2 linked regions of the Lonchura striata genome follow. The protein of the gene in region 2 binds, or shares a complex with, the protein of the main gene of each other region. Links are inferred from orthologs where the notes say so. Each region holds a gene or a part of one and is shown on either strand. Other genes may lie near its edges. The genes, in order: ARL3 and CFAP36.

Region 1 (15,657 bases), on a different chromosome or scaffold from region 2:
TGCACCTCCACATGTCTGAGGAAAGAGAAAAGGAACAGCAAAAATACCTCTAATGGTTACTTGTTTATATGCATGTCCTAAGTGCCCTTGACATCATTAAAAAAACACAAGTTTTAACTGCATGACTAGCAACACATTTTCTTTTCACCTGCCCTCCAATTTACAGTTGTGTTTGCTGGCTTGTAAATCTGTGGATTTATGCTCAGCGTGGACAGACTCCACAGGAGCAGGAACTCTAAAATTCACACATTCTCCTTCCTTTCTAGGGAAACAGTGAATTTCCCATTCTTATGGGCCTGACCCAAAGCCAGTGTACATCAGCAAATGCACTACTGCCGACTTTGGAGAGCTCTGAATCAGGCCCTATTATTTTAGTTTATTGCTCACAGTTAAAAAAAGAAGCTGTTGAAATGCTAATCCTATTCACAGCTCCACTTGCTAAGAGCAGAGCAGTGTATCCCAGAGCAGATCAGGATTAGGTGCCTTTATATTTCAGAATTCAACTCCAAAATACTGAGCGCAAAGAAATGTATTACAAAGTATTGCTTATCTACCACGGAGCAATTCTCAAGGGTCGGGAAGAGGAACAGTTGTAAATGTTAATAGAGCTTCTCCCATTGTAGATGGATGCTATTTCTGGGCCAGTATGACAGCCTATGAGAAAACGATCAGCATCGTTCCATATTCTACTCAAGTGACACTGCTGCATGGCTGATCACAGGATTATCGGGGGTAGCCAATAGAAGAGAAGATATATATAGAAATAAAAGTATTCTCTAAGGTATAAAGTAAGCTGATTTAAAAGGCTGGAAGACAAGCAAGACAACATAGAGAAATGGACTTTATTTCAGTAGCTGCCAGAGTAGGTTACACGTTCTGTATATAACAACTTAAATCAAGAGCCAAATAATAGTATTGGTTCCTGCTACTATTTTGTAAATAGTATTTAAAACTTGAATCCAGCATTCTCCCTGTAGTTAGCAAAGATTTAAAACTAAGGAAAGCCATGTTCAGATGCATTTCTCATTTTTTTCTTTTTAATTTTTTAATTGGTCTTGTGAGCACACTGGCTAGAAAGACAGAAGGCATTTCCTGACAGCTTAGTAGATTGTAAAAAATAACTCAGCAGAGTTCCCTGCTGCATATCACCACGATGTGGGACAAGCAGCCCCTATTGCACACACACTGATGGACAAGCACTCCTCTGCTGGCAAACACAATGCTGAAACTAACAGACTGAGGAGAGTCAGAAAGCAATGCCTTGTTATTGGTGGGAGCTGTCAGGTAGAAAGCCATGAAATGGGAAGATCTGGTACAAAGAGGATGCACAGAAGCAACAGAGGAGGAGCAGATTTTTGAAGCAGGGCAGGTAAGAAATGTCTCGTGCTGGGACTTAGCCAGTCGCGAGAAGGGAGGATTCCCAGGATGCCTGCATAGCAGCCAGGCCTGTGGCACTTGCTCACTGGAGTGTCCAGGGTGAGAACAGGACACATCTTGAGCAGGCCACGGTAGATGTGAGCTAGCTGAGGAGCTGCAGAGATGCCTCACAGGAGTGTAAGGGCAGCGTGTCAGCTGCACAAAACTAAGCAGACTGCGGCATCTGCAATAGGGAAGGGAACTGCAGATGCTGCTCAGATAATGAACAGCACAGCATGGCAGCGTGTACAGCCTTTGGAGAAGGGCAGCCAGACAGAGCAACTCAAGGCTGGGCACAGTCAGTCAGCATTCACTTCTTGGTCACCTCTGGGTTAAGCAAACTATGTCTTATATCAGATTGGCTTGTTTAAAAACATCTTTGTCCTTGGTGGAGAGGGTTTTCTTTACAAGCACTGTGAGGAGACAGACTGATGGGGTCAGCAATGAGGAGACTGTATTTTCCAGACAGCGAGCAGGAACATACAATAAAGAAAAAGAGACTCCTGACAATTACTATGAAATCAGAGTGGGGCATTAAATTCGAAGATGCAACTAAATGGGTAAGAGCACTCATAAACACATTGAGCATGAAAGCAAAGCTAACCATCTTATTAGCATCCTTCAGAAAACAGGGATGCGTGGTTTTATGAAAGTATATCATTGCTAGGTTTAAAATACCCACCAAATTATCAAAGGACTTTCAATTATAGCTGCATGCAGTAATCCTATTCTCTCTCAAAAAAAAAAAATCCTACATATATAAAAATACTGTGACATTTATAGTCCTAGCTAAGGGTTTTGTGGGTTTATTCATTCAGTATATGGGTCTCTTGAACTAGTTGATGTATGTAACTATATCCTGCACCACAGAAGCCACTGAAAGGAAGATTCACTTTACCGGCCAAAGCAAAAATTGGTTTGGGACAAACAGAGCATTGAGATAATCTGTTTAAATATTGTATCAGATTGGCAGTATAAAACCATAATAGAAAGAACAATTCTCCCTTGTACTGAGGGTTGGATACACGGGGCATGGATAAAAAGCGTGGCCCACAAGCTGCTGCAAAGCACGGTTGATTCTTAATAGGAAAGAGAAGTAAATGTATTCTGTTTAACTTTATCAGCCACAAGGCTCAGATAATGAATTTAAAATAAAGCCACCCTCAGTCACCACCAATTGCTTATCTACTAGATGTGGACATTTAGATAGAATCAATGCACTTCACCAAGATGTAACAGAGCCACAAAGCTCAGCAGCTCAGCCTGCCATTACAACCACATCTTTCCCATCTCTACACCTCTGCAGAGATGCCCTCTTCCCCACTACTGCAACCACAAATCACTTAATCCTCAAGACTCATCTCAGCCAAGCACATTTGCCATTGAGATGACAATTCCTGTCTCCCTACAGCTCCCCAGCACTGCTGAGCTCTATTCACAAACTTCTGTGACTCTCCTACAACTGTGGGAGAAACTTCACAAAATATCCATAAAACCAGCCCATGATTCTTCTGCTAATTCCTTCTCTGCCACACCTACAATCCTTGGTGAGGTTTAGGCAGCAAACATGTCAAGTTCAAACCTGTCTTGGATTCTACTTATTCATATCAGTTGGTTATCTCTCACCCCAGACAGACCATATTTCCATGGCATGGGAGCACCTCCGTGCTCTGCCGGCACAGCACCTAGCACAGCTCTGGGCACCAATTTATTTACTTTCTATTAAGCAATATGGTAGCGGTTCACCATTTTCAAAGTGTAAGTTAGAGGGTACACGTGATTTCAGAAAGTCACGCAGGAGAAGCTGACACAGGGAAGGACGAGGGGCTTAGCTGAGCCAAATATCTTGCCTTGCACAGGGGATATATGAGGCTACATTTGTCATCCAGGGTGCAATCCTGCACAGACAGAGCTGGAGGAGGGGAGTCCTTCCTGACAACTGCACTGATTAGCTGGTGTCCTGAAGAATGACGTCTGATTACCTTTATCTTCGGCTGCAGAACTGCAAATGTCACTAATGGTCATAAAATCATCCAGTCTTTTTCAAAATACAACCGAAGTAAATTAATCTATTGAGCACAGTTTATTCAATACTTCTTACTCTGGCAAAACTCCCAAAAAATCATTTGCTTACTGCATGTCACCACCATATGGTGTCATTCAATGCAGACTTTCTTTCCTGCATTGAAATCCAAAATTTAACGGAGTCGAGTCACCTACAGAGTTTTTCCAGCTCAAACTACTAATGTAGTTTTCTGTTAAAGAGGTCACACAGCACTTCCCAGTTTGATGCATAAACCAATACCAGCATGAATCCTCTTTTCATAATTAAAATCAAACTCCCCCGGTTTCAGCAGGTTTGAAAGAAGTATTTTACCCTGTGCAGAGAAGAGCCAATGCCTAGCACTGGACAATGTCAGCAGTCTCTGTCTAGTATCAGAACTTCAAAGCCTTGGCCAGTGACTGGTGTAATTTCCTATCTGCAGGTGATTTCTCATATCATCCTCTCAGCAATCAGTAAAATAAACCAAAAAACATGACATTGAACTGTACTGAAAACTGAAGTAGTGAGACACTTATAATCCTTGAAAGCATTTTTAATAGGGCCATTTTAAATAGAGCCTTACTGACAAGGAACAAGGGATAAAATAAAGAATTTCTAAGTATAAGGTATGCCTAGAGCAGGCAAGATATAGATGCAGGTTTACCTAGAAACATGAGCTCAAGACCAGGAGAAAGATGCCTGACTATGCATTTAGCTATGCTGGTATTTTATCCTTTTCACCAGATGTGCCTTATGTCAGCTAGGCACTCTGTAACTCAGTTTCCTCAACTATAAAACAGGGCCACACTTTGACAAATCTGGTTTTGACACAGTGATGTCATCTTCCATCAATGGTTTTAGAAAAACACTAGCCATCTTCTGGCCCCAGCATCTATCAAGAACATACCATGTGTCTTGGTAAAAATTGGTATTGCAGTGACAATAGAAAGCATTACTGTGATGAGGAAGCCACAAGCTCTGCTTTTCACAGTATTGCCTAAACTTTGGAAAGCAGCATATCCTTTCATGTAGCAGCCTCCCTTCGTCCTTGCCATGCACCCACTGCAGATGCTGCTTAATGGAGCCAAAGACTATCAGCACTACACATCTCTCCTGCTTTGCAGTTTTATGGCTCATCCTTCCCTCCGTGCTCCAACTACAACCTTCCACCACCCCTGCCCCATGGCTGTGAGAAATCCTAGTATGCTCTGCAGAAGAAGACACTGCCCCTCTGTACTTACTCACTTGGATGAACACTGAAATAATTTAAACCTCAGCATTAACCCTCTTATCACTGGAGCTGGAGCAAGCAGACATCGAGGGGAGTTTTAAGCGCTTCCCAGTGCAGTCAGGACATGGTAGGAACGTGCTCATGGGCAGCTACCATGGCTCAGACGACAAGCAGTAAATTGTTACATCAAGCTGTCTGGATGATTTCTGACTGCTGACCCATACCCCCAGGCTGCCATAGCTGCTTTGAATGTATTTGCTGCTGTTTTGGAGTTTCTACCACAAATGATTGTTCTGTTTTAGTGAAAGATGAGAATCTAGAGAGATAGTGCATTGCTCTCCAGTCCTCTATCCAGTCCAGCCAGCCCACCAGGCACCCCAAAGTGCCACCCACCCTAGAGTCTGAGTGGTTATAATTCAAAAAACAACTCCAAGAAATGGAAAATAGAAAAAGAGGCAGTAAAATGTTGTATCAAATAACACGAACACTGGTGAACACCCAGTCACCCTCTCTGCACACAAAGTGCCTGGATAAGAGCAGCCAGATCCCAGACTACACCAGCTTATCAGGACATCATAAGGCAGAAGAGTAGATCTGGCAGCTGCAAGCCAAATGTGTCTCACAAAACACTGCACTGCTGGAGGCAGCTGCCTCATCTTTATAGCAGATGCCCATCCTGTGATGACTTTGGTGCCTGGTGTGACATGCCCCATCACCAACTCATCTAAAATAGAGCAGATCCCACAGGCTTTATCTCAATCTTCTTCTCTGTGACCCAGCAGGTAGGGATGCAGCCAGAATTAACCCAGTGAAGATGAGAAGCTGCCTTTGGTGCTCTTGCTTACACCTCCTCCCATGCATGAATCCCGCTACTTGCATGAATCCAACTTATGTCCAGAGGGCTCCTGGACAAAATAAAGCTTTGCCCTTGGGAAATATCCTTCCCTATTGCTATTGCCTTCTGCTTGTGCTCGCTCTTCATGCAGCATCCTCATGAGTGGCTCCACATCCACAGCAGCTCTCTCTCACCACCCCTCACCCATAGTTCCAACCCCTCCTTCTAGTCCTCGCTGCACTTTGCCAGCATCCCACTTGTTCCACCCCAACTACTTTGGCATCTAAACCCAAATTGTTTCCAACACCTGGATGACCCTGGTCTATCTTCCAACCTTCCTCCAACCTCAATTTAGACTGCACTACACCCTCACCACCTCACCTGTCTCCCAGCATTGCCCTCCACCCAAGACACACAGTTTTTTCCTTCATTCCATGCTACTACCTCTCAAACAATTTATTTCTATCACCCAACACTTCTTTTCTCCCTGGGATCTTTCTTTCTTTCATCAACATCAAAACTCCACTTCCAATCTTTCCTACAGTTTATTCTTATTTCTTCTTTTGAACCTAGACTGTCCCTCATCTTGCCAGCCCATGGCAGAAAACCCAGAGCACACAACATCCCAGCAAACTATCCTAGCCAGCCAAACATTGACTGTTTTTTTCCCACTGACTCACCAGACGGTCCATCCCATCCAACTGGCAGTTTTCTTTCAGCCTCTGAGCACTTTGTCCTGGCCATCTCTGAACACCTAACCCCTTCATCCAGTCTCTCTCTGCCATGATTGAACTCCCTTTCTCAGGCTGTGTATTAAAAACCATCCCTTCCACCTCAGCAAGCTGTCCTCTAGCTCCCTCAATTTCTACAGCCAGGATTCAAGTCCCACGGTGGCCTCCTCCCATCTTGGCTGGGCTGTCCAGTGTCCCTTTAGAGTCACAGCTGCTCCCAGACTTTTCACAGACAATCTCTGAGCGCTGCCTTCCATAATTGCCAAGGTCTTCCATTGCTCCTTCCCTCTTCAGGACACTGCCATCCTGGTCCCCAGCCCTCCCAAGCACCCACCTCTGCATCACACCTTCTACACCTTGACTGAATCAGCTCCAGGCATGCTGATTCCATCCCAACAAAGAGCCCCCATAGCATCTTCCCGGCCTCTGTCTAGACCTGATTCACAAAATCACAAAATCAATTAGATTGTAAAACACCTCTGAGATCACCAAGTCCAACCTATGACTGAACACTTACATGTCAACTAGAGCATGGCACCAAGTGCCATGTACAACCTTTCCAATCTCCCTAAACCCTTCCAGGGATGGTGATTGAACCACCTCCCTGGCCAGTGCTTTACAATGTTCAATCACCCTTTCTGTGAAGAAATTCATCCTAATGTCCAGTCTGAATCTCCCCAGCACAGCTCGAGGCTATTTTCCCCTGTCCTGTCACTTGGGTCACTTCTACATGGGAGAAGAGGCCAATCCTCACCTGTCTATGACCTCCCTTTGGGTAGCTGAAGAGGGATAAGGTCACCCCTGGGTTTCCTCCTCTTCACACTACACAATCCCAGCTCCTTCAGCCACTCCTCACAGGACTTGTGCTCCAGGCCCTTCACCAGTTCTGTTGCCTTTTTTCGGACTCAACCCCCTTTTTTATGTTCCCCATAACATCTGTGTGTTGCCAGGGCCCCAACCCCAGCCAGGGTCTTCCCCAAACTTGCACTGTTCTCATCCCTTTCTACGGGTGCCTGCACCCGCACAGCCCCAGGCCCCCATGCCTGGCTGGATGCCCCAGGTGGGCACTCGGACCCCGGGCCAGCCAGGGTCCCTGGGTGGGTGTCACAGGATGGGTCAGGCTGCAAGGGACCACAGTCGGTCATCTGCTCCAACGTCCCACTCAGGCGTGGTCATCCTTTAACACGTGGCACAGGATCGCGTCCAGATGGTTCTGGGATATCTCCAGTGAGGGAGACTCCACAAACTCTCTGTGCAATCTGTTCCAATGTGTGGTCACCCGCACAGCAAAGTTCTTTCTTGTATTCAGGTGGAATTTCCTGTGCATCAGTTTCTGTCCGTTACCTCTTACCCCAGTGCCCGACAGCACCAAGTAGAGCCTGGCTCGGCCGCCCTGGTTCCATCGCCTTGGCACCCCCTCTCACGGCCCAAGGCCTGCCCGTGCCTGCCACGAGCCCGGCCGGGCCCGACAGACCCTGCAGCCCCCATCACCCCACGCTCCGCGGGGGGATCATCCACGGCCTCAGGCACCCCCGGCCGCGCTGGCCCCGGCCCTCACCTCAGCTCAGCCCAGCCCAGCCCGGCCCGGCCCAGCCCAGCCCGGCCCGGCCCGGCCCCGCCGGCCCCCGCCCCGCTCACCATCCTCGGCGCGGCCCGGGGTTACCATGGGCAACTGCGTCACACCCACCGCGCGCCGACGTGCCCGCGCCGGGGGCGGGGCCAGCGCCGGGCCACGCCCCCTAACGGCGCGTGCGTACGAGGCCGGCCCTGCCGGGAGAGGTGGGCGCGGCCGCTCGGAGCTCTGTGATTGGCTGAGGGCGGCCACGCGGCGGAGCGCGGGGGCGGGAGGCGGGAGCGGGGCCTGGGAGCGCAGGTGGGGACACGTGGGGGCGCGGCGGGCCGGGCTGGGGCGGGGGCGTGCCGTGCCGAGCCGTGCCGTGCCGTGCCGAGCCGTGCCGGGCCGTGCCGTGCCGGGCCGGGCCGTGCCGTGCCGAGCCGTGCCGGGCCGTGCCGTGCCGAGCCGTGCCGTGCCGGGCCGACATAAGCCGTGACCCAGCCGCGCTGGAGGAGTGCCGGGGCTGTGCCATACCGGGCCGAGTCTGGGGTGTGCCGAGCTTTGCTGTGCCTTACAGAGAAGGGCAAGGAAATTGGCGAAGGGTCTGGAGCTCAAGTCTTAGGAGTGGCTGAGGGAGCTGGGAGCGTTTAACCTGGAGAAGAGGCTCACGGAGACCTTATCGCTGTCTACAGCTACCTTTTAAATGAGGTTGTAGCTAGGTGGGAATGGGCCCCTTCTCCCAGGCAACCAGCGACAGGAGAGAGGATACAGTCTGAAGCTGTGCCAGGAGAGGTTCAGGCTGGACATTAGTAAGAATTCCTTTACAGAAGCGTGATTAGATACTGAAAAGGACAGCCGAAGGAGATGGTGAAGTCACAGTCCCTGGAGGTGTTTAAGGAAAGACTGAACATGGCACTTGGCTAGGGTTAGGCTAGGTTAGCCATGCTGTAGTTGACATGGTGATGTTTGGTCATAGGCTGGGCCCAGATGATCTCAGAAGTATTTCCCTGCCTAATTCATTCTGTGATTCTGTGCTGTGCAACTGTGGGCATGTGGCGCAGCACCCCGGGGAGCATGCAGGGCAGTGCCATGGCAGTGCAGAGCAGCATTAGAGGGATGTGCAGGATGGTGCTGTGGCAGGCACAGCACAGTGTGAGGTGCTGTGCATACTCGGGGGCTGCAGAGTAGTGCCCCTGTAGGAGTGCCTGCAAGGCAGCCTTGTGGAGGGTTGAGCTGGTCCCTACAGTGCTGTACAGCACCATATCACCCCAAGGAGGGGGTGCGAGGTGCTATGGGGTGCAGCACAAATGGGGTGACCCCAGGCAAGCAGGATGATGTGTGAAGGAGTGGCCTGACTGCAGTGTTCTGCTGACAGCAGGAGTGCAGGGGCCTCCTGGCTCAGGGCTGCTGAAAGTCCAGTTGTCCTGTTAAACATAAACCTGCCATGGCTCTCATCCAGCTGCTCCTGTGGCTGTGGCAGGTGTGCACTCAATGAGCAAGCAAGAAAGGATCCTACTGAGCGGCCTTTTTCCCTGCCCAGACCTACGCCAAGATGGCCACAGTTTCTCTTAGCTTCAACATTGACTCCCCACGCTGGGACCAGAGCACCTTTGTGGGCCGCCTGAAGCACTTCCTCAACATCACCGACCCTCGGACAGTGCTGGTGCCAGAGGAGGAGCTGGACCAGGCCAAGGCCCTGGTGGAGGGCTGCAGGTGAGAGGCAGGGATACAGATGGGGGAGGTGCTGTCCCTGTGCTCATGGCCATGCCAACCACTGTGCAGTGTTGCAGGGGGATGGAGTCATTCTCAAGCAGGTGTGCAGTGATGTAACATCTGTTGGAGGTAGTTTTGGGGGCGTTTCCCAGGCTTCTCCCAGGAGCTTCAAGCTGTGACATGCATCCTTCTCTGGAGATGTTTCCTCTGCCTTTCATGTGGTGCCCAGAGCTCTGTGCCTCAGCAGTGCTGGGTGCTGGCAGGTCTGTGCAACTTCCCCTGATGAGCTTTGGGTTTGCAGGGCTGGGTTGGTGCCACCAGGAAGCAGCCAGGAGCAGCTGCTCTATGCCAAGAAGCTGTACGACTCAGCCTTCCACCCTGACAGCGGTGAGAAGATGAACCTCATTGGGAGGATGTCCTTCCAGGTGCCAGGGGGCATGGCCATCACTGGCTGCATGCTCCAGTTCTATCGGTGAGCTCCTGGGGACAGCCCTGACAGCCCCTAGCCCCTCTCGAGGTCCCTGATGGCCAGAGCAGAGCCAGCCTGCCTCTATGGGGCTGGGTGCTGCCTAAGGCATGCCCATGGCTGCTGTGTTTGCCTGTGTCCCATGGTCAAGCCCAATGTCTCTGGGATCTGTCCTCAGCACCCAGCCTGTGGTAGAAGCATCACAGATTCCTCTGGCCCATGGCATGGCTGGGTATGGTCTCACCTCACCCTGAGCTCAGCTGACATCTTCCCATAGCCCCTGTAATGATTAATGCAACCAAATCCTGCTTGGCTGCTGCGCTTGGTCTGTGGCCCATAGCAGTCTTTGAAACTGAGGAACAAATGTGCCCCTAGGCCAGGCTGCTTCAGCATCCCCAGCCCCTGCTGACAGCTCCCTGCATTTCCCTTCTCTACTCCCCTGCATTCCAAAGCGTGCTCCCTGTGTCCCTTCCTGCCCCACGTCAGTGTCCCTGAGACACCAACAGAAACCCAGGCACCCTCATTCCCCAGAGCCACTTCTGTCCCTGTGTGTCTGCGCCTTGCTGCTTGCTTTGACAAAGGCTTATCTCAGCCCAGCAGAGGATGGCTGCCACCCTGCTGAGAGCTGTCTCCCACCCCTGCCCAAGTGCCTTGCAGGACTGGGCCCTCCTCTTCCTATGGTCCCCAGGGTAACCAGAACTCCTGGGATCATTTCCCAGCTCTGCCACTAGCTTGTCACTTTGCCACAGTTCCTCAGTTTCCCTTTGGAGACATCATGATGAGTGGATTGCAGGCATCCTGGCTGTCTCCCTGCCAAGCCTGGCCACAGGCACAGGCCAGGTGTCCCTGACAGCCCTCAGGTGCTCTCCCATCCCTTCCCTCCACAGGACAGTGCCTGCCGTGGTTTTCTGGCAGTGGGTGAACCAGTCTTTCAATGCCTTTGTCAACTACACCAACCGCAACGCTGCCTCCCCCATCTCTCTGAGGTGAGCAGCCCAACAGGGTGGAGTGTGTCCATTTGATGCACCCCTGGATGCCCTATAAAGACCCTCTGTGCTGTGTCTTGGGCACAGAAGGAACAGGGCTGAGTCCGAGTTGGTGATTCTGTTATCTCTCTTCTTTGAAATTGCTGTCCAGGCAAATTGGGGTGGCTTATGTCACGGCCACTGGTGCAGCCCTGGCCACTGCAGTGGGACTCAACCTCTACACCAAGGTATGCCAGGCTAGGGCCAGGTGGGGCAGCTGGGCACATCCTGCTCTCCCGTGCTGATGCCAACCTGTTTCTCACAGCGAGCCCCACCCTTGCTGGCCCGCTGGGTCCCCTTTGCAGCTGTGGCTGCTGCCAATTGTGTCAATATCCCCATGATGCGGCAACAGTAAGTGTCACATGTGGCTGGGGGGCTTGAGGGACCCAGCTCCCTCCAAAGGCAAACTGGTGGCAGCCAAGCTCCTGGGCTGCCTGCCCTCCCTGCCTTGGATTCCCCTCTTGAGAGCTGGAGAGAGATGAACTGGGGTCTGTGCATTTGCAGTGCTGTATCTGTGGTGCAGGGTGCTGGGTGGGATGGTTCAGCCTCCACCCAGGAGGGGGATTTTCGGCTGAGGATAGCTGCTCTGGAATCCGTGCTGGAAGATCTCTCAAACCCAAAGATCTCCTGCATGTCATGGGAGAACCCCAGTCCATTATATCTTGATGCTGGGACACCCCAGTTGGGGTCTTTGTTGTGACCTGTGCCTGCTGCTTGGTTATCACAGCACAAGGAGCTCAGGTACTGCGTGAGGGACTGTGCCCTGGCTCAGCTGTGTCTGTCCCTAGCATGGCCAGATCCTGCTCGCAGCTGTGCCCTGAAGATGGCAGCATCGGCTGGGCTGGGGACCGTGGTGCCCCGGGGTGCTGGAGCCCCGTGCCCTGGGGGCATCCGGGGCTACTGTGTAAAAAGGACTCCCCTGGCACCCCCTCACCCCGTTACTGTGTCCCTATGCTTTCCCGGCCATCCTGTCCCCCACTCACGGCTGCCTGTCCCCTTCAGGGAGATCATCAACGGGATCACAGTGACAGATGAGAACAACAATGAGCTCGGCTGCTCCAGGGTGAGTCTGAGGATGGGGATTTGGGCTGGGGCACGGCGCTGCCGGGGCTCACCTGCTGATTTTGCTTGCAGAGGGCAGCAGTGAAGGGCATTGCGCAGGTTGTGCTCTCCAGGATCACCATGGCAGCACCAGGCATGAGTGAGTGTGGGACAGGAGGGTGCACAGCTGAACTGGGGATTTTCCAGGACCCGCCACCTTGCCTGCCCCTGCTTCAGTTTCCCTCATGAAAAAGAGGGAGGGTGGCCCTGCGTCCCAGATGGCATTTTCTCTCCTCATCCGGCCATTCCCATCAGAGGTCCCCAAGCCCCCAGCCCCCTCCATGCCAAACCACAGCCTGGGAGACAGGGAGTGCTCCTATGGCAGTTTGGCCCCACAAGGATGCATCTCATGCTCTCTGGCCCTAGCCCCTCACCCTGCAGCCCAGCACCCCCTCTGCTCCTGAGACCCTTGACAAGCCCAGAAGGACGGACAGGAACATGAGGAACACAGACCATGCTGCCCGAGTGATGGATGTGTGGGGGTCTTGTGTTAGGTCCTTGCTGTCAGCAAACACCCAGTTGCCCCCAGCATAACTAGCTGCTTCCACGGCCTCCAGGTGGATGGTCCTGCTGGGACAGCCCTGCAGGCTGGCTAGCAGGATAGCTGTTCTGGGATCTGGGCTGACCTTTGCTCTCTGTGCCTAGTTATTTTGCCTATCATCATGGAGCGGCTGGAGAAATTCACCTTCATGCAGGTGAGTGCATGTTTCCCCTGCCAGTGGGTTCTGTGGTGCTCCGGCCCAGCTTCCCTGCTGCTGATATGCTGGGGATCAAATGGGGATTTGCAGAGCCCGGCTTGCTCTGCTCCCTACTTTAGTCATTGATACAACCAATGGCCTCTCAAGTGACGTGGGAGGCTATGAGAGGGTGGCAGGGTTTGGTGCACACCAGAGGTGTTGGGCATTCAGCCCTACTGAGGGGAGAAGTCTGCTCACCCTGTGAGTGGGTCTTGTAGCGAGGCCAGGGACTCAGTCCTGGCTCTTCTCTTGCAGCGGATCCGGGTTCTCCATGGACCTTTGCAGGTGCTGCTCTGTGGGGGCTTGTAAGTATCTCACTGCTCAATCACCTGTGAGTGCCTGGAGTATGGCTCCAACGAAATGCTTGAAAAAATACTTTCCCAGAAGAAATTGCAAAGCTGCTTACCTTTCAGCTTGGACTTTGCCCAATTATTGGGAGTCATGGGGTGTGAACAGCACTTCTTGGGCTGAAATCCCTGTGGCTGAAGGGCAAACAGGCTGGGATCCCCAGGACTAATGCTCTGCTCTTCTCTGTCCCACAGCCTCCTGTTCATGGTGCCAGCAGCCTGTGCCCTCTTCCCCCAGCGATGGTACCTCTTCCACTGTTTCCCCCTCCTGCATGGGATCTCAGGAGCCTCCTTCCTTCCCTAGTTCCTCTCTGCCCATCCCAGGAGAAGTGTGATGGGCACCCACCCTTTAACCCAAGGCAGTGCCTGCCTGCACACACTGGTGCCCAGGGCAGCAGGAAAGCATGTGCCTCCCCTGCTCTGTGAGCTCTGTGCTGGGAGCAACAGGACATCCAGCTCCATGGGCAGCTCTCTGCTTTCCAGCACTGGGAGGGAAGGGTGATGGGTCTTTCCATGAGCCTGCAAGATCCCAGGGTCTGCAGAGGCCTCAGATGGCAATGGGAAGGGAGGATGGTTTGACTGCTGGTTGAGGAGAAGGATCATGGCTCTCAGTGTGTATCTCCCTCTCCACAGCTCCCTTGCACTGGCTGACCTTGAGGTGGAGCTGCGTGACAGTATCATGGCCAAGCACGGGGACAAAGTGCCGTATGTCTATTTTAACAAAGGACTGTGAATGAAGACTACCTCAGGAGCCATCACTCCCCTCTGGCCTCCTGCCACCACCATTCCCACGTCCCCTGAGCACGGTCAGAGGCACAGTCCAGCCCAGATCTGTGCCCCCACCCAGAACCTTCTCTGCAGCCTTTTTCCACTGTAGAATCAGGATCTGACTCTGTGTCCAGCTTGCAGCACTTTGGCTGATTCTGACCCATGCCCATCTGCTGCTGGCCATGTCTCAGCCTTTGCATGTCCCTCTTGCCCTGAGGGATGCCTGTGCTTCCTGTGCCTTCCTTTGGCCCAGCCTGTCTTGGCCTCACTGGGTTTGGCCCCATGAGGTTCTCTCCCTTGTGGCTCAGAGCAGTTCTACCTCCAAATGCAGATATCCTGCCATTGTACCAGCAACCAAACCACATTCCTGCCTTAAACCACCACTCTTCCCAAGAGACAGATCATGTCTTGGCAGGTGTAAAAGGACCTTTTCTCTCTGCACCATGAGAGTGACCATTCCAAAATCCAGAGACCAATGCTTGGACTATGCATTCCTTGCTCTCAGGTTCAGGTTCTATTGACTCTGTGTTTGCCACAAGCCAGGAAAGAAATAGCTAATTGTTTTTAGCTCTAATTTTTTCATTCCGCTGAGCACTGTCACCCTTGTCCTGCATCTCTGGTCCCCACAGCAGAACCATGAAACTGCAGCTTTAGGGGACGATTGTCTCTGTGCCCTCTTTGACATGGGGAAGAAGACAGAAATCACAGAATTGTTAGGGTTGGAAGGACCTCTGGAGGTCATCTATTCCAGCCCCCCTGCTGAGGCAGGGTCATTGGAGCAGGTTACACAGGAATGCATCCAGGCGAGTTTTGAGTATTTCCCGAGAGGGAGACTCCACAACCTGCCTGGGCAGCCTGTTCCAGTGCTTTGCTATCCTCAATGTGTAAAGAATTTCTTCCTCATGTTGAGGTGGAACTTCTTGTGGTTTAGTTTATGGCCATTGTTCCTTGTCCTGTTGCTGGGCACCACTTGAAAGGGCCTGGGACCATCCTCTTGGCACCTGCCTTTGAGACATTTATATGCATAGATGAGATCCCTCTCAGTCTTCTCTTTTCCAGACTGAACAGACCTGGCTCTCACAGTCTCTCCTCATAAGAGATGCTCCAAATCCTTCATCATCTTTGTGGCCCTCCACTGAACACTGTCCAGTAGCTCCTCTCTTTCTTGTCACAGTGCTGTCAAGGCATTCACTCAGGCTCTGAATTCACTCAGTGCTGATGCACTGCAAACAGCAGAGGAAGGTTGAAAAATAAATGCGGTAATTTTTAAAAACCAGCTGTGGGTTGTGCTTCTGGCTGATCTCTGTTTCTGGTTCTCTGGGCTGGGTTGGTTTGTGCGTCTCACGCTTGCCTTGGAAGGGAAAAGTGTGGACTTTGTGACTGACCAAGCATCAGGGTGAGGGTAACCAAAGGAGCCAGGAAAAGGAGGAAGAGTGTGAGGGATGGCATGAGCTCTGAAACCCTTGGGCCTTCAATGGCAGCCTTCCCGAAGGGGTTCTTGGGGATGCAAAGTGCTATGTCAAGTGACAAAGGTGGTTGTGCTGTACTCACAGTGACAGTCATCCTCTTCTGGGTCCTGGGAGGATAACACTGGGTGACCCTTCCTACACCCATGGGTGCTGTTTATCTTCATGGCCAGGCAGAGTTTCATGAGGCTATCTTAGATCTGCCATGAGGCCTCTCCCACC
Region 2 (15,739 bases):
GTTCCCTGGAAAAGGCTGGAAGAGTCAGGTCCTATAGACCTGTATTTTAAAATAATATACAAAGTTGGACTGATTGATTTCTTACCTTAGAACCTCCCTGAGTATTTTCATTTCTTCCTGTTCAATTTCACTGAATACATCAGAACCCTCTGTCAAACACTCAGGCAATATACCTGGAAAAAAACAAGATTTATTCATTATTCTAAGGAAAATTATTTTGTGCTCCAGTTGGCAGAGAAGAAAATTTAAAAAAAACCCAAACAAAAGAAAATCACACTCACAAAGCCAAAGCCATGTAAACTGTTTCCAAAAAGATCCTAGAGGAAAATGTCCTAAATCCTGTTAAGAAAAGTTAAAGATTTCTGGCAATGAAAGTTTTGACCTCAAAGGTTAAGCCAAATTCTGTATTGACCATTATGTGGCATTTCCTGTAGGCTGCAATTCAGCAATGGCCACCTGAACCACTCTCAAATCTAGCTGTTATATGAAAGGTGAAATTTAAAAATTATTCTCTGACAAACACTCATACAGTAAGAAGTAAGTACAATGAAAGACACAGAAGGAAGGAGTGAGATTAAAACCCTTTCAGAAGCATCAACAGAGCAGTGAAGTTTGGTGTGGATTATTTTCTCTTCATCTTCTTTTTCATGCATGTATGAGCATGATGAAGGCCTTAACTTGTACTTCCTGAATGGATTTTTCAGTGTGAATTGCACAGTAAGCAGACACTACAACATCCTTGCCATGCAGGGAGCAGAATTACAGCTATTGATATTGCTCCTTTTGAGGAACTGCCCTAGCTGCCTTAGCTCAGAAATGTCATTAAAATTCTGCAACAGAAAACTCAGTCAAGTTTCACAAAGAAATTCAGACAAACAGACCTGAAATATCTGTTAACTTTACAGTACAGACAGCTGTCACCAAGAGTGCAAGCCAAGGACTAAGTAATGAAATCTCTGTCCCAGTATCATCAATAGGGTGTTTTCCTGTAACCTGAACTGGAGCAGAACCAGCATTCCACACTCATTTATGAATGGCTTAAAGAGTCATCAAAAGAACACTAAAAACCTTCAGAGAATCCCCACATTCATCACTTCTCACCATTTCTTTCTTTGATGATTCGAATCGCTTGCAGTTGCATTTCAATATTTTTCTGTACCATCATTTTTTTAAACAGTCTAAAATCTTCTGCTGCCAACACTGTTTGCAGAATGGCCTGTGGGAGGAAAGATATGCACAAAATTAAACCCCCCACAGAAATCCTAACCAGCTCAGTCTGTTTGAAATTAGCTGGATTTTTCAATTCTGGGGAGCATGTTTTTAATAATTATATTTCATTCTATCTGTCTGTTTTTCCAGATATACAAGAAGAGCTCATGGTCAAGAAAATAACTTGGTGGGTTACATCTTTAGATCAACATGTCTGCAATAACATTATGACAATATTATAATATTATGACAAAATTGGGTTTCCCAGTTGTCGTGGTTTGACATGGAAAAATCATTTTTCTTGGAAGGAAGAGGTCAATTTGGATATTGACCAATTGGAGGTGGACACGCCTCTGAGAACACAGAGGGGTTGAAAGCAGAATTCCCAGGGGAACTCGCTCTCTTTGGTTCTGGTCAGCGTGCAGTGCAGCCTCTCCCCTGCCCGGCCGTGGCTGGGTGGGGAGGGGAAGGCCCATGGCCTGACTGAGGTGGGCCCAAGGGTAGAGGGACTGGAACCCCCTGCAGATGGAAGGGTGGAGAAAAAATCTGGGATGTCTCTGTTGCCCCCCGCCCCAAGAGTCTCTTGGCAGTGGTGGCTTGTCAGCAATTTCACCGCGGGGAAGGAGAAGAGCGAGCGGGGAGGGGCCGCAAGGTGCCCAGCCACTGCTGTGGGAGCCAGATCCTGGGCAGAGAGCCAGACAGGGAGTCGGGACTTTTAACCCTTCCTTTAGAAATGAAAGCTTTGTGAAATTTTTTTCCCCCTCCTTGGTTTGAAAAGAGAGGAAGAGAGACACCTTGGACCCTGGGATGTTAGAAGGAGAAATTTTAGATAAGAGGGGGACAAGGAGTGGCTTTTGGCTGGACTTTTTCCTTGGTAGCCACCGACTGAATCAATCTTCTCCTCCAAGAGAGACTGTATTTTAGGAGGATGTCGGTGAGCCAAGAGACCTCCTTCAGCTGGGAGAAGACAGAAGTGGAGCAAACAGAGAAAAGTTAGGGAGGTTTGTGGTGGTGCCCCCTGTCCTCAAAGAAGAAGAGAAGAAGATCTCTGTTCTTGGACCCTCGGCCCCAGGGGGAAAATGGGGGGGTACTGTGGTCCCAAAAAATGGAAAAACCTGAACTGTTGTTTTTTCCCCTCTTGGCAGGGCATCCTTGAAAGGAAAATCCTAAAAGCAGTCTGTCCATCCATGCATTGGTGGTGAGAGCACTGTGCATGGAAAGGCGAAGGGTCACCATGGCAAACTTTTTCTCTGGGTGGTGCCATGTGTGACAGGGAAGCACAGGATGTGGCAGCTGTATTTCTTGGGGGGTCTGTGGCACAGGAGAGGCTCCTCTCTCCCTCAATGGACTGAGTATTGATTGTCTGGAGAGTGGAAACCTGATTGGGGTCCAGATTGTGTCTTGCTGTGGTTTGTTGGAGTTGGGTGGTGGGAGGAGGAATGCTTTGCAAGGTTTTAATTTTGAATTTTGTGTGTGTTTTTTTTCTTTTTCCTTCCTTTATTTCTTTTATAGTAGTAGCTTAATAAAGTTTTTTTTTCCCTGTTATTAAGCTTGGGCCTGCTTTGCTCTGTTCTGAATTCCATTTCACAGCATTTATTTGAGAGATTGCATTTTCATGGGGGCACTGGCATTGTGCCAGTGTCAAACCATGACACCAGTGTAAGCAAACAGCTGTAGTTCAATTGAAAACAACAATTTCACCATTAAAACTTTTCCAAGTTTCATCTCCTGCCAGCTGTGTTAGGGAAAACATCAAGCTGAGAATGAAATCCATATATTCCTTAATGAAAGCAAATACCTGGGAGGTGTGGGTCTTTGCAAGAGGAGAAGAAAAAGCTTCTTGAAATTTCTCCTCATTAATTCCAACTTCTTTAAGGTAGTCCTCTAGTAATCTCTCCACCTGTAAGAAAGTATAAGCCTTAGCTTCTAAGGTTTTTCCCTGAGAATCAGAGGAATTTTTGTCATGATTGTCTATTCTTTTCTGCTGATGTGGTTTATAAACTCAAAGGAAAATCACTAAATAGCATAACTGACTTTTCTGATTTCAAGCTTTATTTGCTTTCATGCACTGTTCAAAATGAGCATTTTTATTGCTAAATTTGATGATTCCTTAACATATCTTCTCCAATTTCCAGGACTCTCACTCGTGTACCTTTTCCCCAGATTCCTGGCTATTATTTCTCATGGTTTTTTCATGAAAATAAAAGGCTTTTTGCCAGTCTATGCCTGAAAGCCTTAAGGGTCAGAGCAGAAATGAATGTTGGTTTGTATTTCTTCAATCAAAGCTTTTTAGTATCATGTATTTCCCAGCCTCATTACAGAAAGTGTTAGAAATCTGCAAGTATTATTTGATAGGTATTTAAGCTTCAAAACTTTCCTGTCATTTTTTCTGATAATTGAAAGATAATTCGAAAGATTTCCCAGACTCATCGGTGAACAAAATACAAGTTGTGAGTGTTTTCAGACATCCTGCTGGTTGTCATTTTCATTTGATAGAAAATAACATTATCAAGCTTGTAAATACAATCTTGAAGGTTGTGGATATATTAATTTTAATGATGAATATATAAAACAGCCTAAGAGCTATGAGTGTGTCACAGTTTCTTTTCTATGTACCTAGTCTTTAGGTATATAAATGCACATGACAACTACAACTCACAGGATTTCTGAATAACATCTGGAAAAATACTAAATAACAATAATAACCCAATTAGAAGTTCATATAAATACTCAGTTAAATAACATTTTAAATTCTTTTGCTTAGAAATTTACCACAGACAGTGAATAATGCTCACCAGAGCTTGGTACTCCTGATAAATTTCTGTGTAAGACAACTTGCTTTCTTCTTCATCATCAAAAACTGAGGAAGGGGAAGAAGTAACATTTTGCAGTCAGTGTACAAACCACCACAAATTAACTTACACCCTAAACAGCAAGATTAACCTTTAGAGGGTAATATATTTAATCAATGAAAATATAGGCCATGATTTATCAAAGTCCTCTGTTTTTCCACAAACTCAGGCTAAGTGTGTGCTTTTGATAACTGAAAGCAATTAAGCTGCATAATTTAATACTGGGAAAATGTATCTTCATAACAGACTTGTAAGCAAGTTGAGGATTCAGCAGATACATTCACTAAAAGGTAAGTTTTAATATAAGAACTACCCCCTATGATTCTGTGTAAGGTTGTTCTTTGGTGGCAGATGACAGATCTGGAGGGCAGATCAGACAGGAAATTTCTTACTCTCCATGTATTTACATGGAAGAGATATTTATTAATGACATGAACCATCTTTTAAATGTCATTCATGTAGTGAGAAACCAAGGTGATACAGGGAAATGAGTCCCTGCCTGCAAAACCAGATAAACCCAAAGAGAAAATGTGGTGCAGTTAAGTGATATTTTAGTTAAATCAATGTAATTTATGAAAAATGGACATTCCGATACTAAAGTCCATATTAATCATATTAATGTAAATTCACATCAAAATCCGTAACTGGAACTACTCAAGCTCATGATCTCTATGCTGCAGAATATCTGGAAGAAGCTGAGAATGAGAGGAACTGAAAACTAAGGGGTGGGGGGGTGGTGGTAATGTACATTTTTTTCATGCCAACAACTAAGAGAGGTAAAGTAAAACCTGGCAATTAAAGCAAAGGCTTAGAAATAAGTCTGCCTCAATCCCCTTCAAGATTAGCCACTTGGACAAGTCACTTGCCAGGAACATTCTTTGAAGTCATTTGAAGAATGGGAATTCTGCTTAAATTGGTGAACGAGTGTGATTTATTCTTCATGTACATGTGACATCTCTGATGGTGGTGATGCCGTGGAACCAGTGCAACCTTCACACAAATTCAGAGTGACTTTTTTTTGAAGGCATCCAACATCTTTCCCAGTTGGGACAGCCCTGAGGCCACATCACTCCAGACCTGGACACAGTGTGAGCTGAGGTGGCACTTCCTAAAGCAGCATCACTTTCTAACACAGAAGTGCAATAACAGAAATCCAATGACACATTTCAGGTCCCCCAAAAGCAGAGGAAAATCTGGTTTTTAATCATACTTTGGAAAACCAACATTGCTTGGGGGTTTTGCACAAGGCAAAATTTTTAATGAAGAAATTAAAATAAAAGGCTTACACGTATCTAGGATTAAATTCAAATTATAGGGAAGGTATTATAGATATCAGTTCTATGCAACCACCATATTACTAAACTTGACAAGTGAAGACACTTGACAGCCTCTGTTGTCTCCTCCTGGCTGGGGATTGCTACCAGCTATTGCAGACCCCAGCTTTCACCTTGGCTTCTCTGTCCCTTTTTCCCCCACCCTTCCTGCCCTGGGGATCCCAAGCACAGGGATGTCACCCCTTGGTGACAGCTGGCCTGGCACTGCCAAGGCGATGTTCCTCCTGCAGAGCAGAGTGCGAAGCTGGCACACTCTGTCCCCGGGCTCAGGACACAACGGGATCAAGTTCAGTGCCAAGTAAAGCCAGCTGCAGTCAGCATCTCCTCTCAGCTAAGTGGCTTTAAGGACTACTTGGAACAGAGACCTTGGATTTTCTTGAGTCAGGGCTTCTGAATCACGTAGTCATTATTCCTTAAGGTTTTGGCACAGCCTTTGGTCGCCCACCAGGAATAAAAATCTTAAGAACCACAGTATGAAGACAAGCCAGGGGACATAGAAGTCCCGGGAGACACTCATTATCTTCTTGTTAAAACTGAAGATCTTGGCTAGGACCCCTCAGATGGAATGATACACACCCATCTATTTAATTTCAGTTTGACGTAAAAGCAAGTTAACCAAGCAATAAGAAATTAATCAAGTTCCCAGAAAGAGGGAGGGAGAGAAGCAAACACTTGCTAACAGATAGAAAACCATTACAATAAGTTTAGAAGTTGAAGTGCAAGGACTTGGCCGAAGTAACTACAGTTGTAAAATGAATTCCTCACATACTGACTACCAAAACCTGAACTGTATTTTTGAGGAGTCACAAATTATTGTCAGTTAATCAGAGTGCTCCTAATTTGCTAGTCCAACCCAAAATCAAATGTTTTGGGAATGCAAAGGACTCTGTCCTGACAAAGTATGTCAGTACAAAACCAGCACTGGAATCAGCCCAGCAGGAAGTGACCATTACGAGCCTGCCTCACACTAGGTGGAAATTTACAGCGGTTCTACAAATCTTCTTACTGTCAGTAAATTCCGCTCAACCTTCTAAGGAGAAGGGATCATTGCTCCTGAGAGGGATAAATCAATTCCCTCGATAGCTAAACCTTTGCAAGACAACCAGAATGTTAGGCCCACCCTAAGTTTTGGCAGACTTCCCAGGACAAAGCTTCCAGTCTAGGTTTCTCTAGCCCGTCCTCGCCGTGAAGGCTCCAGGAGCTCTCCCTTTCTCTTTTCCCAGTTTTAAGAGGGAAAGGCATATGGACTCATTACAGTCGTGCCTCGTGCAGAGTTTGGGGGGGGCGGGGGGGGGGGCGGGGTGTAGAAACGATTCAGGGAGAAACTGAAAGGTGATTTTTTTCCAAAAATCACAAACAAAAGCTGCCTTTGTTTTTCCAAAGGGCTTAGGCACTGCTTTCAGACCTGCCCAAATTGTCATTACTTTGCTACTGTAAGGATCCAGGTGTTTTTTGGCAGCAGAAGTTGTTCTGTAAACCGAAGTAATTTAGCCAAATCTCTGCATCAGAGAGTCTACTTCCTCCTTCCCCCTCTGCAGATACAAACCTGCACAGGCCTCCCCTGGCCACAGGGCAATCCTGGCCCCCCCTCACTGCCTGTACTTCCACTTTACCCAGGCTGCTCCCCAGATTATGCCTTGGTTATCTCAAGAAGACAAAGGAAGAAATGGAGGTCTGAACTGGAGTTACTTCCAAGCTAAACTCACCCACAGGATCACCTACAAAACGTTGCCGGTGATCACTGACAGTTTTGACTATCATTTTTGCGAGCTCCTAAAATTGAGGGATTTTCACCTCTTAATTGACAACGTTCGCATAATTGCAGGAATTTAACTTTGAGCCTTCTCTTCCTCTGTTGCACTGACCGGATGGCGCTCTCGGTTGTCCAGACCAATTTCCTAAGGACAGCTCCCGGCTCTGGGAGAGCTTTGGAGGCCGTGCCGGGGTCCGAGGCGCCGCAGGTACGGCGCCCGCTCGGCGTCAGCCGTGAGCTCACGCCATAATCCGAGGGCGAGCTAATGGATGCGAACGGCGCCTCCGACACACGGCTGGCCGGCCCGGGGGACGCGGCGGGCGCCGGGAGCCCGGCGGGGGCGCGGCCGGGCGGGCAAGGGCGCTCCCGCCCGCCCCGGCGCCCAGGGCCGCCCCGCGCCCGGGCCCGGCCCCGCCCGCCCCCCTCACCCTCCTCACCCTCGCAGTTGTGCTCCATGAACTCCAGGATGGGGATGGACCAGGCGGGCCCCCGCAGGAACCCGGCGATGGTGTCCACTACCCACTCCACGTCGTCCTCCTCCTCGGCCGCCATGGCCAGCGGCGCGGCCACTATGGCAACCGGCGTCACGGGGTGGGTCCTGGGGCCGGGAGCCGCCCTCACGGCATTCCCGGGAAGCGCGGCCGGCGGCTGCGGCGGGCGGGGAGTGGGGAGGGCGGCAACGGGAGCGGGGCTGGCAGCGGCCGCCCGACTCGCGGGTGCTGTACAGCAATGGAAAGGAAAGAAACGAGTACTTTACGGTGGTTGTTAGTCGCCAGTGTTGAGGGAATACGGGAACAGGCGGCTCAGGCAGGCTTCCCTCTGCCTGGGGATAGCCGGGATATGAGGGGCACGGCCCTGAGAAGCCGCCTTGCACTGGCCCTGCGCCTCCCGGAGATCCCCAGGTGTTCTAGCGCCTCTCACTCGCACTTTCACAGTACAGTCCAGGTTGGGCTTGCATATTTGAATTTTATTTTAAAAATATCCCAGATAATGGAAAATTCCTGTTATCGCCTATTTTATTATGTGCAGAAAGCAGTGACATTGTGGAGAAAACAATAACGTGTTCCATGTCAGTTGTTGAAGGTGGTGCTCTAATTCTCATGTTAATAGCTCATCAGGCCTTCATAAGAACACGGACAACTTGTAGTTTAGTAATCTTGAAAAAACCGTACAGTTTAGAATTAGGAAATAATTTACAAGGCGATGGGTAAGAAGGATTAATTAACACTTAATCATTTGGGTATTTCTTAGGGCTGGTGATTGTGGTATATTCCTTTTCTCCACTAAAATTAAGGTAATTTCTCTCACTGTCCTCATCTTTTACACTGCTGACACACTGAAAAGTTTTTCTCAAAGTTTAAATGTATGTTCTAATACTGGATGATTGCTTGTCTTACTGGTACATGTCACTGGTAAGTAAAAAAAAAAAACAAAACAAAAACCCAAAAAACAAACCCCAAAAACCCCAACAAACCCAAAAAGAACCTCTTCATCCTTTTTGAAATATTTTAATGAGCACAAACAGTGGCAGTTCTAGTTCATTGCATCAGGATCAGGCTTGGTCTTGTTCAAGAGCTCTTGTAGTCATTAATGAGATTTTACCTACACAAAGTTTCAGTGCTGGGTAAAGTCTTATTTATTTTCTCACTGTTTTTTCTCAAAGGTAACAATCCTATGCTCTCAGAACTGCAGAGAAGTACCTGATCATCATTTAAATAAGAATCTGCACTGGAAAAACTTCAGATTTTCCTTTTGCAGGCCACTTTTTTTCACCATCAGCGCTTCCATTTCTGTAGCTGGTTTTGTGGTCGGAGAGCATCAGCAATATGGCAGGATATTCACTTCCTATTTGTTGCATAAAAAGTTAAAGCATTTCATTACAGTTACAAGAAAAATTGCTGCAGCAATGAGTATGAGGAAATTCTGTCCTCTGCAATCAAATCCGTTTTATCACCGCACAGGAAACTGCCTGATATGATCATGTTCTGTCCATAGATGTCAGGCAAAACACTGGAGTTGGTGGTTTAGTTGTTAACAATACAAAAGATGGAGCAGGAAATGCTCCCTTAGCTGAGTCACAAAAAGCATTTATTGCTTGATTTTCTGTCTGCTCTGAGCAAGTTGCTACTTCAGACATTTTGACGTACATACAAATATATATATATATATGTTCCACTGAATTCTTTATGTCAGTATCCAACTCTCTTCACATCCAGTGGGTTCCACTCACAAGCACAATAATAAAGTTTGAAATTCCAGAATCTTGAGACTGACTTCTTTTTGCAGAAAGCCATTTTTGATCTGTTGCTGAATTTATAAATTTATTTATCTATTTATAAATAAAGTGGGAGGCAGATAAACTTCTTAGCTAATGGCAGAGGTGGTTTTTACATCACTTCTAATTTCTTCAATGTGGATAAATTTGTAGCTTTTGAGAAATTTAAAGGATACTGGCAAAAGTGCAATTATCAGATTAACAGTTAAACAGTATTATTTTTATTTACTCTTTTGTTTAGGCTTTAATTCTCCCATCCACCTAGTTTGTAATAGTCTTAATACTGCAACAGCTATAAATATTTTTACCTTAGTAAACTTAATGCAACTTTTCCAAATTTTTTTTTATAAATTTTAGTTTTGGAGGGATTTTTTTAATAAATCTGACCTCAAAGAGAACACCGAGCTCAAGCTTCTGAAAACCTATGGTGCAAAGACCTTTTCTTTCAGTCCAGTAGACAGAATTAAATGTGATTTCTGTATAAAAGGTTGAAAATTAAAACACTAATCACTTCATGCTCATTGGCAACAATTTATTGTGGAGATTTTTTATTAAGTATGTTATACTTAAGGGACTTCACTGCACTTTAGTTAAAGCTTATGTTATACTTAAGGGACTTCACTGCACTTTAGTTAAAGCTAAACTAGGAGAGAAATTGGTTCTGAGCAATGCAGACACATTGAAGAAATGCCTAAAGTCAAGTAAGGTATTGTGAGTTATCTTCGTTTTCCTCCTCTCTGGGATATTGAGCTCCTGCTTGTTGCCTTCTGCTGAGAAGGCAGAAGACCTGGTTTCAAGGGACAGCACGGCAGCCCGGCCTCGCCCGGGCCACTCAGGCCACAGACATACACAGACACCAATGTGGTGGATGGTCAAATGGCCTTTATTACCTTATCTCGTGAGGTTAAATAGTCAAGGGGGCTTTGCTACGTCAAAGGAAGAAGGTAGGGTCTCTAGGGTTAATAAGGGGTGGAAAACTACTGGGTTAGGAGGGGTTACCTGTCTCAGGGGTGATGGATTACATATCACAGGATGAGGGGGGAAGGGTCTTGCTTTCTGTTACATCCCAAAATCTTCCATTCACCTGTCCCTATCTACCACACTGCTGGAACTTCTAAAGATCTTCCTATTTAGGTCATTTTCTTTCATTTTATAAAATTGTTCTTTTCTCTTGTGACTTGAAGGTTTTATACAAATGTAAGGCTGTAATCACAGGATCCATTCTGCCTGAGAGGCCATTCGTAATATAATTATCCAATAATAAGCATATGCCATTGCCTTTTCTACAATAATGCTTCTTAGCTAAATTATCTAATCTTAAAAGTATCTCAAGTGTCCAACATCTAATACATTCTCTTTATAGCTTGTGAAAAAAAGACGCTAAAACTACAAGAATATTATTTCTTCTATTTTTTAGATTTTTTTTCATTTTTATACTTTCCACAAATCATGCACATTTTACTCACACGTTTATCCGAAAGTCTATTGATACACCTAATTTAATATATTTTCCTGAAGCAAATTTTGTTGTCTATTTAGCAACAATAGGATTAATTCCCATGTACACTTTTCATAGGGATTTTCTCCGCACACATTGACCTGGTGTTCTAGTAATTGCTGCAGTGCTTTTACCATTGCTTTTTCTGTGGTGTCTACACCTCTTGAATTCCAAAAAGTCTGGTAACAGTTTAGATTTTTCTGTCCAATTTCAGCTGATTGTTATTGATGGAAGATGAACTACGGCAAGGTGAAGCCTGTGGTTTGATCTGAAGCCAGTGAGTTTTGTTATTCTAATCTCTTCTGGCATGGAGTTCTGCAGCCATGAGCAGGTTAAAAAAGGAAAAAGAAAAAGCCCTGTGACCTTTCTTTGGAAGTGGAGAGTTTCAATGAACCAGAAAGATGGCATGTGTGGAGGATGAAATGGTATCAATAAGGGTATGAGATCGTTAGAAATAGTAAAATAATAAACTGCCAGATGCATGGGCATTTTATTCATTGTGGAATAAGTGTGCGAGAAAGGTCAGGGAACATGGTTGCCACAAATCCATGATAATAATAGGTAAAAAAGAAAAAATATAACCTTCAGTTGTGTATTGATTTTGGGGAAAGATCTTTATTTCTGAGCTTAGGAGACTTTCTACATAAGTCCATCTTCTAACACCTTCAGCCAAGAGTTATGAAAGCTATGTAGAAAGACTCCTACACACAAACACATTTCTCTTTCTCTTCAGTTTTTACCACTGTGAGAATTGTGCATTTTTAATTTCTTTGTAGAACTTCTCTTAAAAAGGACTCCTCAATATTAGGATTACTGATTAGTGTTACCTGGGGCTATGTGTGCAGTGGGACTAGAAGAGGTCTGAAGGCTGCCCAGCCTTGGAGTTTCCTTGACTGCACAGTGCAAGAGAGAATTTATTTAAGACATGAGTTTGGTTTGAGTCATTTAGTGTTACCTCAGGGCTTGGCTTACAAGAAGGTATTTAAAGACAAAGTGCTGGTTCTGGGGGCTCTGGGGAAGACTGGAGTTTGCATTTCTGAGTTTTATTACCCACATGTTTCAGTTGCCCCCAAGAATGTTGGCTAATTGCATTGTATTGTTGATTATAAAAGACAAAGAAAAATCCCAAGGAAAACGATACACTGGAGTGCCTCACAGAAACTGCTTTCTACTGCTGAAACAGAAATGTTGGGAAGGATGGATAAATATAATTATTAATAAATAATACAGCCAGGATGAGAACAGTCCTCTCTGCTAGCCAGACAATGCCCTTGCCTATGGATGGGTCCAGGGGTCAAGTGGACTGTTCCGTCTCACCCCCCAAAATGTATGGCTCACCCCACACCTGTAACCCTCCCCTAAAACATCAAGTGCCTGTAACCCCATTGGCCCAAGTCTTGTTCCAGCCCACCTTGAAGCCCCCTGATAAGGGGTCTCCGAGGGGCAACACCCTCTCTTGGATCTTCCCCCTCATAGGACCTCCACCCTTTCCTAGAGCATCCTCCTGTCTCTCCCCTCCCCCATCTCCTTAAGCTTCACCACGTGCTGCATCTGGCAGCTCGAAGCAGGACCTTTCTGCATCCCTAATAAACCTTATATCCCAAGAGCAGCCTTCAGAGATCTCTTGTCTCCATTCACCTAAACCATCCTGCTCACAGTGTACCCTACAGACTGGCGCCCAGCGAGGAATACGAACCCACACATCTCTGGAAACCTCTCCAGGTTTTTTACCTGTGGGAGACTTCTCCATGGACGGTAACTAAATAACCTGTTGTACTCCCTCATCGGTGTCGTGAGCACGGCATTTCGTTGCCGGAGCTCTTAAAAAAATTGCTGAGGCAATCCTCGAGCACCATGACTCGTTACCAAGTAGTGAGTTTTCGGAGCTCTTGGAGGATTCTCCGCCTTGAGCACAGGGAACGCTGCAGAGCAGCAGAGACCCGGAGCTCTGTGAGGAGCCCTGTGGCACACCGCCACGTGCAGAGAGCGCAGAGAGCACTGCCTAGCACTGCCCGCGCTGGAGCCCTGAGGGGGAGTCTGGGGGTCCCGAGCATGGAAAAGCCATCCCTGAGAGACGCCTGATACTGGAGATCTTGAGGAGGACCTCCCACAGAGTCCTGAGCACTGACTGGACAGTACGTCGGAACTCCACAGAGGATCCTGCTTTTGTGACATTGAGGTGAGCTACACAGGTCTCCCTCTCGAATCCACGGGAACAGATGCCCTGTGGAGCCTGGCCAGCTGGGCAGTGGGGCGAGGTGGGCAGAGGGAAGGAACTTCTCCTCAGATCCCGGGGGGCTTGGAGAAGCTCCCACGTGAGTCCAAAGACGAGCTGGTTGCACAAGCAAAGGAAAGAGGCTCTCTCCCTCAGGATTAGTTCCAAAGTTTAATGAGGGCCTGGAGAGATCCCAGGCCACATCTGGCTTCGAAGGACATCCAGAGCAAGAGAGAGGGTCTCCCGGCCCAGAGAAGCCAGATATAGGGGAGCGGGGAAAACTGAGCAGGCAATGGGGGAAGGACATGGGAGCGGCTCTCTGGGGGCAAGGCCTCAGAGTGACCACTGAGGAGGGGGTTGGGGAGGAGTTCCAGCCAGGATCCAGTTACCTGGTGACCCTGGGAGAAGGATCTGGAAAAAGGGGAAGGGTCACCAGGTGATGGACACATCACCTGGGAGGAGACGGGGATGGGTTGGGGTTTGATGGACATACAGGTACTGATGGGAAAGCTGGGATGAACCAAACAGGTACAAAGAGGGGATATGGAGGGACAAACCATTATGAGGGGATATACAGTGCACACACAATTCTACAACAATCCCACTCTGCCCCTGATACAGATCTCTATAAGCAACTTAACCATGTCTTACGTAGCCGTAACAGTACTTTGTCTAAGAAAGAGTTAAAAAAACCTCCTGGAGTGGATTCTGCTTAATTTCCCCAATGCTGACCGGTCAGCTGTCTTTACCAGAGAATTTTGGGACTCAGTTGGAAATAGACTTTTTATTGATATTTCACGCGGGGATCCCGATGCTTGTGATTTGCTCCCGGCTTTTCGGACTGTAGCCAATTTGTTTGCTTCACGGAAGCCGGCGGCAGCCGCTTTGCTGGTTCGCGTGGTTTCTGATGACCCCTGTGTCCCCCCGCAGCCCCTGTGGCCCTTGCAGCCGCCCCACCCCCTCCTCCGCCATGGGTCCCTTGGCCGCGCCCGTCCCCTCAGTGGCATCTTTGGCAGCAGCGTTCACCACCTTTGCTGGCCTGTTACAAAACCACGTGGCCGCGTTTTTTACAAGCAATAGAACCGGCGCTTGCCGCAGCCATCTCGCTGCCGCCGCCGTCTCCCGCAGGTATCCCTGAGGCCCGGGAAGCAGCGTCACCCGCGCCGCGGAACCACGCGACCATACCCCCGGTCCCAGCGCCGCAGCAGCGTCTGGCTGGAGGCCCTGCGCTGCCACCCCAGCCCAACCACCCCCAACACAGGGAGATGCCGCAGGGCTCCGTAACGTGCCCCTGATACCTCCCGCACCTGTGAACACGCGGCAGCCCTCTGGCCACCCGGCCCCAACACCAGCCCCTGTGCAAGAGCCCTCTGGCTGCCTGGCCCCGACCCCGGCCCCCGAACCTGAGCCCTCCAGCCACTCGGTAGATGCGGCCACCATCATGGCTCACCAGGTGGACCTTGTGACGCGCCCCATGCTTGTGCAGTTCGCGTTACTCCCCGACCACCCGCTCCAAGCCACCCCCACTGCGCCTCTGATGCAGCCCCCTGCTTCCCACGTGCCCCATGCCACGGTCTACGCCCAGCCGACGTCCCCGCATCCCCCCACAGCAGTGCCAAAGCCTCCAGTTCTGGCCGAAGAAGCCCCGCCGCCACCACCGCTGAGAACACCACTTCCAGGCTTGCCGGCTCTGCCACCGTATCCATCTGCACAGCCAGCCCACCCAGGTCTTCTTACAGCCTCATCACAAATAGTCCCCCCGACATTGCCTCCTTCGCAGCTCCTGGAAACCCCAGCCCTACAGCCACCAGCAGCTCCTCCACGACCGCAGCCTCCAACCTCCCCCCACCCTCCAACCAGTCTGCCTGCAGCACCACAACATGATTCTACAGCATCCTCTGCACACCCCTCTGTGTCCCTTCCTCCGCTGGATCTACCTTCTGCAGCTGCAGCCCCAGCTTCGAGATATCCTTCTGCACATGCCGGTTCTTCCCATGTGCCTTTGCTGACAGGCTCCACTCCTGCTCCTCTGCTCCAGCTACCAGCAGCTCCTGCAGCCGGTTCACGCAGTACCCCACCACAGCTTGGCACGCAGCGAGAGGGAGAAGGACGGAACCTGGAAGCTGCTTTGACAAATAAAGGACACACTGAAAACTGTAGTCCCCCTGCTAATGCTACCCCCACTACCTCGATTTCACAGAATTCCCAGAAAGGTGTTGATAATCGCCAACTGATAGACTGGCATGGACTCAGACGTGATAGTCACAAAGAGGACAGTCTGAATCCCCAATCCATGCCTGTGGCATTCAGCCAGAAACCTGGTGGTCCCAGAAAATGGACAGCTGTCCCACCTCAGGATGAGAAAGAATTCCTAAAAGCAGTAATTGACAGTGGTATCTGCTCTTCCTATGTTACACAACTGTTGAGAAGTACCATAGAAAGAACATATCAAACCCTAAAACGCAGTGTAAATCTACAGAATGGGGGAGTTTATCAGGCTACACCTCAAAAGAGGTTAAGGCTCTGTATGTTTACAATTTTTTAAATAGCTCTGCAGAAGAGCCTGATCCCCTGATTTATAAGCATTTCCTGAATAATAAAAA

The links.
Region 1: the proteins of CFAP36 (region 2) and ARL3 are in contact, whole or in part, in a crystal structure (PDB 4ZI3), measured with the Mus musculus proteins. The link is inferred for Lonchura striata from reciprocal best matches to the Homo sapiens genes CFAP36 and ARL3. Residues at the interface, in NP_080016.1 of Mus musculus: Glu44, Glu45, Ser46, Lys47, Leu48, Thr51, Glu52, Lys58, Val61, Glu62, Leu65, Glu76, Phe79, Gln80, Cys83, Thr84, Ala88, Lys89, Leu97, Val100, Leu101, Ala103, Glu104, Asp105, Phe106, Thr107, Ile108; in NP_062692.1 of Mus musculus: Leu3, Leu4, Ile6, Leu7, Arg8, Lys9, Leu10, Lys11, Ser12, Arg19, Lys35, Glu40, Pro47, Thr48, Gln49, Gly50, Phe51, Asn52, Ile53, Lys54, Trp66, Ile74, Tyr77, Ser80, Tyr81.

Annotation. Positions count from the first base shown.
Region 1 is NC_134609.1:20,178,900-20,194,556, forward strand, and holds the start of ARL3 (ADP-ribosylation factor-like protein 3), read right to left. Parts: upstream 7,994-15,657; 5' UTR 7,899-7,993; coding exon 7,896-7,898; intron 1-7,895. Other genes in the region: SFXN2 (sideroflexin-2), read left to right, coding at 9,365-9,525, 9,827-9,997, 10,879-10,977, 11,129-11,204, 11,282-11,367, 12,019-12,079, 12,151-12,217, 12,763-12,812 and 3 more. UniProt on the Homo sapiens protein: Small GTP-binding protein which cycles between an inactive GDP-bound and an active GTP-bound form, and the rate of cycling is regulated by guanine nucleotide exchange factors (GEF) and GTPase-activating proteins (GAP).
Region 2 is NC_134605.1:27,066,414-27,082,152, forward strand, and holds the start of CFAP36 (cilia- and flagella-associated protein 36), read right to left. Parts: upstream 7,752-15,739; 5' UTR 7,701-7,751; coding exon 7,586-7,700; intron 4,070-7,585; coding exon 4,005-4,069; intron 3,110-4,004; coding exon 3,008-3,109; intron 1,217-3,007; coding exon 1,102-1,216; intron 174-1,101; coding exon 86-173; intron 1-85. UniProt on the Homo sapiens protein: May act as an effector for ARL3.